2 linked regions of the Mus musculus genome follow. The protein of the gene in region 1 interacts with the protein of each later gene in a pairwise test. Links are inferred from orthologs where the notes say so. Each region holds a gene or a part of one and is shown in the gene's direction. Other genes may lie near its edges. The genes, in order: Ddx58 and Mavs.

Region 1 (3,812 bases):
TAGTCCAGCAGTTGCTTCAGAGTTTTGAAGAAGAGGAGGAAGCCTTTCTTCTTCCATGTGACACCCTCCACTGCGACTTCTGCTTACTGTGGGGAACTTGAGTGGAGGACGGGAGTGTGCATAGATGAAAGAGTGGAGGACGGGAGTGTGCATAGATGAAGGAGTGGAGGACGGGAGTGTGCATACATGAAGGAGTGGAGGACGGGAGTGTGCATACATGAAGGAGTGGAGGACGGGAGTGTGCATACATGAAGGAGTGGAGGACGGGAGTGTGCATACATGAAGGAGTGGAGGATGGGAGTGTGCATACATGAAGGAGTGGAGGACGGGAGTGTGCATACATGAAGGAGTGGAGGACGGGAGTGTGCATACATGAAGGAGAGGAGGACGGGAGTGTGCATAGATGAAGGAGAGGAGGACGGGAGTGTGCATAGATGAAGGAGAGGAGGACGGGAGTGTGCATAGATGAAGGAGAGGAGGACGGGAGTGTGCATAGATGAAGGAGAGGAGGACGGGAGTGTGCATAGATGAAGGAGTGGAGGACGGGAGTGTGCATACATGAAGGAGTGGAGGACGGGAGTGTGCATACATGAAGGAGTGGAGGACGGGAGTGTGCATACATGAAGGAGTGGAGGACGGGAGTGTGCATACATGAAGGAGTGGAGGACGGGAGTGTGCATACATGAAGGAGAGGAGGACGGGAGTGTGCATAGATGAAGGAGAGGAGGACGGGAGTGTGCATAGATGAAGGAGAGGAGGACGGGAGTGTGCATAGATGAAGGAGAGGAGGACGGGAGTGTGCATACATGAAGGAAAGGAGGACGGGAGTGTGCATAGATGAAGGAGTGGAGGACGGGAGTGTGCATACATGAAGGAGTGGAGGACGGGAGTGTGCATACATGAAGGAGTGGAGGACGGGAGTGTGCATATGAAGGAGTGGAGGACGGGAGTGTGCATACATGAAGGAGTGGAGGACGGGAGTGTGCATAGATGAAGGAGAGGAGGACGGGAGTGTGCATAGATGAAGGAGAGGAGGACGGGAGAGTGCATAGATGAAGGAGTGGAGGACGGGAGTGTGCATACATGAAGGAGTGGAGGACGGGAGTGTGCATACATGAAGGAGTGGAGGACGGGAGTGTGCATAGATGAAGGAGAGGAGGACGGGAGTGTGCATAGATGAAGGAGAGGAGGACGGGAGAGTGCATAGATGAAGGAGTGGAGGACGGGAGTGTGCATAGATGAAGGAGTGGAGGACGAGAGTGTGCATACATGAAGGAGTGGAGGACGGGAGTGTGCGAGGATGGATGAGTGGAGTCTGCTGCCTCTCAAAGGTCTTCTGGTTCCATGAGTTGTTATGACTCCCAGACCCACATGGGAAGGTCTGGTCTGTTATCTTCCAGTGACTAGTGCTTCTGCAGGCTACTCACTTGCCCTTGCTTCTGTTTGCAGAGGAGGTGCAGTACATTCAGGCTGAGAAGAACAACAAGGGCCCAATGGAAGCTGCCTCACTCTTCCTCCAGTACCTGTTGAAGCTGCAGTCAGAGGGCTGGTTCCAGGCCTTTTTGGATGCCCTGTACCATGCAGGTTGGTTCCTTCTTCTTCCTCACAGTTCAGAGTACTTCACTCTGCTGCCTCAGAAGGCTGAGGGGAGAAAAGTGACTCGTTCTGTGACATCTGTGTGTGGCTTCTGCCTCAGGCGGGAAATGTAAAGACTATTTTGAATCAGATAAGAGAATGGTTTATACCAGAAATATCCAAAGCAATCTACAGAGTTGTAACTACTAGGAGAGGTGACAATATTAGTAGCATGCCGGTATCTTTCAAGAGGAGAACGAGTAAATAAATCGGTTTTATAATGTTTACAGTGCTCCATTATACTGCAATGAAGCGTGTGGACATGTCTGTAAATGACAACCCAGCTGAACTGTAGGCACGCAGCATTTAAATTTGAATATCATAAACTATAATAGCTATAAAGTTCCACATGAGTCAAACTAAACATATAGGGAAGGAAACTGGATCTTGGGCGACCCTGGCTGACCAGTCCTGGGGAGTAAGCTTAATAAACTCTCCCTGTCTGACTGAGATCGGTGTCCTGTGGTTTGTGAGGCAATTCCTGGACTCTAACACTTAGGCAATTACATTTCTTGCCCCTCTGCCACTCTAGCTTATTCACTGGTGAAAGAAGGAGAATACTTTAGTGTTACCAACAATGGGGGGGGGGGGGCGGGGGATGGGAAATGGGAAAAAGCAGGCCCGGCCCAGTGTAGTAAGAAAGAAACACCAAAGAAAGCCAAGGGCTCCTGTTGCTTTCATTGTATTGGAGTGTTTGTCAGTCGGCTGGGGGATGGGGTGGGGGGTGGGGAAGCACACCTTTAATCCCAGCTCTGGGGAGGCAGAGGCAGGCAGATCCCTGTGAGCTCCACCAGTCATGGCTGGCCTCAGCAAGAACTGTATCCATCACATCCTAACACAGGTGTGTTGAATTAACATGGTACTGTTAAAGCAAACACGCTGCCTTCCTCGGGTGCTGCGGTCCCTAGGAAGCCACACATTGGCAGCATGTTGGCAGCAGTTGTATAAAAACTAATGCTTTTTTTTCCTTTTCTTTTTAATTCGGTAAAAGGGTTTAAATGTCATTTGTTATAAAACTTGGTTTCCTGCTATTTCCAGGATTAACAATTGACTTATTCTTTCTATTTCCTGCTTTATAGACCATCATTTTGATACATTATCTATTTGCATCTCAGTGATACATGCTTATCTTACCCTTTTATTTCGTTTTAAGAATTGTGTGTGTGTGTGTGTGTGTGTGTGTGTGTGTGTGTGTGTGTGTGTGTGTGTGTCTGAGAGTGGGCATGCATTTATGAGTGCATTGCCTAGAGGTCAGACATTCCCCTGGAGCTGGAGTTAATGGCAGTTGTGAGGGACTGACGTGGGTGCTGGGATCTGACCCCAGTCCCCTGCAAGAACACGATGAACCTTACTTGCTAAGCCATCTCCCCAGCCCTTAGCTGTTGCAGTTACTCTCCATTCCAAATAAGCCCTGGCAATGAAAACAAGACTTAATTCATATGAATACATGCTGTGCACCTAGATTGGGCAGATCTACCGCTACACTACCATCTTCTCCATCTATGAGACTCCCCCTTTTTTTTTTCTTTTTTTCTTTTTTGTGGTTTTGGTTTTTTGAGACAGGGTTTCTCTGTATAGCCCTGGCTGTCCTGGAACTCACTTTGTAGACCAGGCTGGCCTCGAACTCAGAAATCCGCCTGCCTCTGCCTCCCAAGTGCTGGGAATTAAGGCGTGCGCCACCAGGCGGTTTCTCCAGGCTGTGTGCTTCTGCTCCACTTTTCTTCCTCCTCCTCTGTGGTATCCTCTCCCTCTTCCTCTTTCTCCTTCTCTCTTCCCACCTTCCTCTCCAACTTCCCTTTATCAGCCCAATCACCAGCTCTCCTTTATTTTACTAATTGAGGTGGGAAGCAGGTTTACAGGAAATCACCGGAGTGCTGACTCATTCCTTGTTCGCAGCCACTCAATGCAGAATGGAATTACCATCAAATATAATTAGCCCCAGGGCTATCCACAACACTTACCTAGCACATCAAATGGCCCAGCAGGGGATCAAGAGAAAAGGAAACTCAACTTCTGCTTATTTTCCTCATCTCTTATGTAGCCCCATCAGAGAAGCTGTTGTTTTCCTTTTGTGGGCTCTAACTAATTTGAATATTATATTTAAGATCTATTCTCTTAAGTAAAAATGGCACAGCTAACTTTAACTGTAAAATTATATGAGGTTTACTAGGAAAAGT
Region 2 (4,381 bases), on another chromosome or scaffold:
TGGGTGTGGCCTTGTTGAAGAAATTCAGAAGCTCCACCTAGGCTCAGTGACTTGCTCTTCCTTCTTGCTGCCTGAGGATGCAGAGGCAGAACTCTCCGCCCCTCTACAGCACCATGTCTGCCTGCTATGGTGCCTACTTCACCTTGCTTCCTGCCATGACCACATTGAACTAAACCTCTGTACTGTAAGCAAATGCCAATTAAATTTTCTAAGAGTTGCCATGCTCATGATGTCTCTTCATAGCAACGGGAACCCTAACTAAAACAAACAGTAATAAAATCTAATTTCATTCAAAGAGTTCCAGCATGGTGGCAGCTCTAACCTCAGTGCTCCCTTAGGCTTGTCTTTAAAACTGTATTAGATAGGAGATTATAGCATTAAGTATGTCATTGATGCATTTTTCAGCTTTTTTCCTGTTTTATATTTATGATGGGAGGGGTGATAAATGCCAATGCTTTTTGGAGTTAGTTCTCTTTCCATTATGCAGATTACAGTGGTCAGACTCAGATCTCTGGCTTGGCAAAAAGTGCCCTTACCTGCTGAGCCATCTCACCAGCCCCAGTTGATATATTTTTACATGTGCTCCAGCTGCGTACTCTCCACCTACATCGAGTTATAAGACATTTCTACCATCTAGCCGTGCTGAGGTAACTGATTTCTTTTTAACTATGTTCGTTTTTTACTTCTGGTTGAAAGAATTGACTGGAAGCGAAAAGCTTTCGTTCCTTTGTCTCTGTAAGCCAGTGGAGGTCAGAGGAGTCGGGTTACCCTGGTGTTGGAGCTATAAGCGGTTGTAGCTTGGTGCATATCCCCAGATAGATGCAGTCTTTTGCTGCATCCTGTTCCTACCAGCCCAGCTGGTGTCATCTGGCTAGGCACTCATGTCCCTATGACATTTTGTGCGACACTACGTTTATGGAGCACTGGAGACATAGGAGCAGATCACATGAAGACCCTCTCTCCTCCAGTACTTGGCTAGAAGATCTGCTTTGCCTGAGGAATGGAACGGAATCTAAGAACTGCAGTTTTCTGGGTATCTGGACTTCCCCTGAAAAGTGTTCTAGACTAAGCAGGAAGAAACAATCTCCCTAATGCACCTGCAGGAAATCAGAAGAGACCTCAAGCAAGGCCTGCGGGGCACCAGCCGCTAGACCAGCCGCTCCGGAACATCAGGACTCATCCACTGGCCCTGCGACCGGCCTAGCTCAGCTCCGCCCAGGCATCCCCAGCCCAGCCAACAGCCGTACTTCCAACTCTATCACAGTCTGGCTCTGCCAGGCCAATGACTGCGCTTCCGATCCCGCCCCTCCTCCCCACGCCTGACCAATAGCTGCGTGGCTGGCTTCGTCCCGCCCCCTTCATCTGCGAGGGCTCTGCACAGTCGAACGCGGTCAACCTGTTGCCTAGTCTGGTTTCTCTTGGTAAGTTTGCAGCCTGGGCGTCGGTGCTCAGGACTCTGTGTTCACTGAGATCCTTCAGGGAGGGAACCTTGGCTAGGGCCAGTTACGCCTGGGAGTCCGCATGGGCGCCCTGGGCCTGGGCGCGTGGGGTCGGAGAGGCTCCTGAACTAGGGGAGAATGAGGTCGGCCACACACGGATTCGCGACCCCGGCAGTTCCTTGATCCGCATCCAGCACCTTTAGCAAGCAGGTAGGTGGTGCCGAGAGTTTGCCCAGGCTGGACAGAAAGAACCTCGGAGTGCCCCCTGCTTCTCCCAGGCCCTGGTGACTCGAGCGAGGCCTGGCTACGAGCAACGACCTGTGGCAGCCGCGCCAGGGAGTAGGCCTGCCAGTCCGGGCTACGGCCTGATCCTGGATCTGGGCAGTTGCAGGCAATAACATCTGTTCAAAACAGCCTCCCTGCACTTGGAGACCTGAGTCCCGACAGGAATCTAGTCCGAGGCCAGGAGACTTGTCCCTCGGGAGTGTGGATATTTATTTCCACGACCCGGACAGAAGCTCTGTGGAAGTCAGGTCGGAAGCTTTGCTGTGTCCAGGACACTCTTGCCACCTCCCTTTCTGTTATAAGAAAGGGTCTGATATAAGAAAGAAGTTTGAGGAAAAGGATGAAATCAAAAGAAAGCAGAAAACAATGTTCTTTGGATACCGGGAAGCTTCAAAAACTTGAAGGGCATTCAGCCTCGATCTCAGAACTCAGGTGAATGTCAGTAAGGGCAGCATTGATGCCAGTTGTGTCTGAGAGACTTTTATGTCTTCAAAGAGCCTAAATGCTGCATCTTCTCACCCTATAGTCACATCCCCAGGCAGTGACCTTGGTGTAAAGAGGGGCTTTGTGGTTTTCCTGCTGCAGGGACCTCTATGCTGTTAGGTCATGGCAACAAGTCTGGGTACAAATTCCACACTGCAGGTCAGCCGTGTAGCTTGGTATCACTTCCTCTCTTGTGATTGTGTTAAAGGACATAAGTAAAAGGACCTCAGGCTGCCTCTGTTAACAGAGAACCTTCGAGAAATGAATAACTGTGAGCTTCCTCTGCTTTTGGTGGGGCTCCATGCCACTCCCCGCCCCCAGGCTGCATTCAGAGTTGTGGTTGGACTGCAGAAAACCAATAATTTGACTCCCTCATCGTCACATCTTTCTAGGTGACCTGGGAAAGGGGGAGGAAGGGTTTCATCAGGCTGGCCTCTACAGAGGCCTCATTTTTCATCCCCTGAAGGCTCAACAGACCTCAATCTTATCTCCTTGATCTCCCAGCCTTCCATCCTTAGCTCTTTGTAGGAATGTAGCATTTGGTAGTTAGCAGTGGCAGAGGTCACTAGGCAGAACTGGCACCCCGCCTCCCACGTGGCAGGGGCCTGCACCTGCAACAGCCGTGGGTACTCCCTGCACTGTCTCTCAGAGGCCTCAGACTCCATGATGGGCACTTGGTTCCCTCTTCTATCCCTTCCTTCTTCTCTCCTGAACAATACTCTTGGAAACCAACAGCTTGTTAAACTTGTCAAAACGGAGCTCTGAAGGGCCATCTTTCCATGGCTTCTTACTGCCTTCCCTAGAGTTGAGTAAATGGCACCTTCCTTGCCCCACTTCCCAAGAAGCCATGTTTGATTGCCACCCTACCTCCCTTGTCTACAAAGCACCAGGAATATAGCTGCTCATCCCCTCTGTTGCCACCCGGGCCACACCCTTCATCATCCTCTCACAGGGCCCTGACTTGTCACCCTCCTTCCATCCTGGGCTTCTCAAAGACCTTAGAACCTCCAGAGAGTTCTGCAGTGCAAATCAGAGCCCAGGCTCTCCAGTGGTTCCCCATATCACATCAAGTAAAACCCAAAGTCCTTCCCACAACACCTTACGTGCTGGTGGCCTCTTTGACCTTGACCTCTGTCCTTCCCCTCAGCTTTAAACGTCACTCACCTAGATTCTCTTCACTCCAGATTCCATCCCATCTTAGAACTTTGGCATCTGCTTTGCCTTCTGCCCCAGACTCCAGTCTTTTCACAATGGAAAATCATTCAGTGAGATGTTACCAATCGCGGCTTTCCTGGATCACCTCTGTTTAAGCAGGGATTTCCTCCTGGAGTTCTGTCCCACTGTCTCCTTTTACTTTCTAAATAATCAGACTTACTTCCTGGGCTTGTCATTTGGGTATGTGCTAATGGATCTGGTGCCTGTTCCACTCCAATGGTACTTAAATTGGATGTGGCATATCTTGTCTCTCTTCTCCCCAAGGTGGAGGACAGCTAAGAGACAAGTAATCAAAACACGTGATTACAGATGGTGGTGCTTCGTAAGCAATGCTTGCATTTAAGGCACTGCCAATGTCTAAATGGTGGGATGGCTCAGTAGGTAAAACTGCACGCTGTGCACTCCTGACAACCCGAGTTCAATCCCTGGAAGCCAAGGTGGAAGGAGAGAGCCAAATCACAAAAAAATCGTCCTCCAATTTTCATGTGTATGCTGTGACATGTGTGCACACATTACACACCTATCGTATACATGCAATAATAAATGAGTGAACAGATAAAAGTGGTGTATTTTTTAAAATGTAAGCTTAGATGTTCTGGAAAAAAGGCTTAGTGGGTGAGAGCACTGCCTGCTTTCCCAGAGGACCAGAGTTTGAGTTCCAGTACCCACGTGGCAGCTCACGACCATCTGTGGGTGCTCTCTGCTGGCCTCTGTAGGAACATGGTACACAGACATCCATGCAGGCAAAACACTCAAGTACATAAAATATAAATAATAAATCTTGGGGCCGGGTGGTGGTGGCCCATGCCTTTAATCCCAGCACTTGGGAGGAGGAGGTAGGCAGATTTCCTAGTTCGAGGCCAGCCTGGTTGGTCTACAGAGTGAGTTCCAGGACAGCCAGGGCTATACAGAGAAACCCTGTCTCGAAAAACAAAAAACAAAAAAGCAAACAAACAAAA

The links.
Region 2: the proteins of Ddx58 (region 1) and Mavs interact in binary tests that used the Homo sapiens proteins (3 or more experiments, as listed by UniProt). The link is inferred for Mus musculus from reciprocal best matches to the Homo sapiens genes RIGI and MAVS.

Annotation. Positions count from the first base shown.
Region 1 is NC_000070.6:40,233,020-40,236,831, reverse strand, and holds part of Ddx58 (antiviral innate immune response receptor RIG-I), read left to right. Parts: intron 1-1,449; coding exon 1,450-1,584; intron 1,585-3,812.
Region 2 is NC_000068.7:131,232,707-131,237,087, forward strand, and holds the start of Mavs (mitochondrial antiviral-signaling protein), read left to right. Parts: upstream 1-1,356; 5' UTR 1,357-1,421; exon of another isoform or gene 1,422-1,649; intron 1,650-4,381.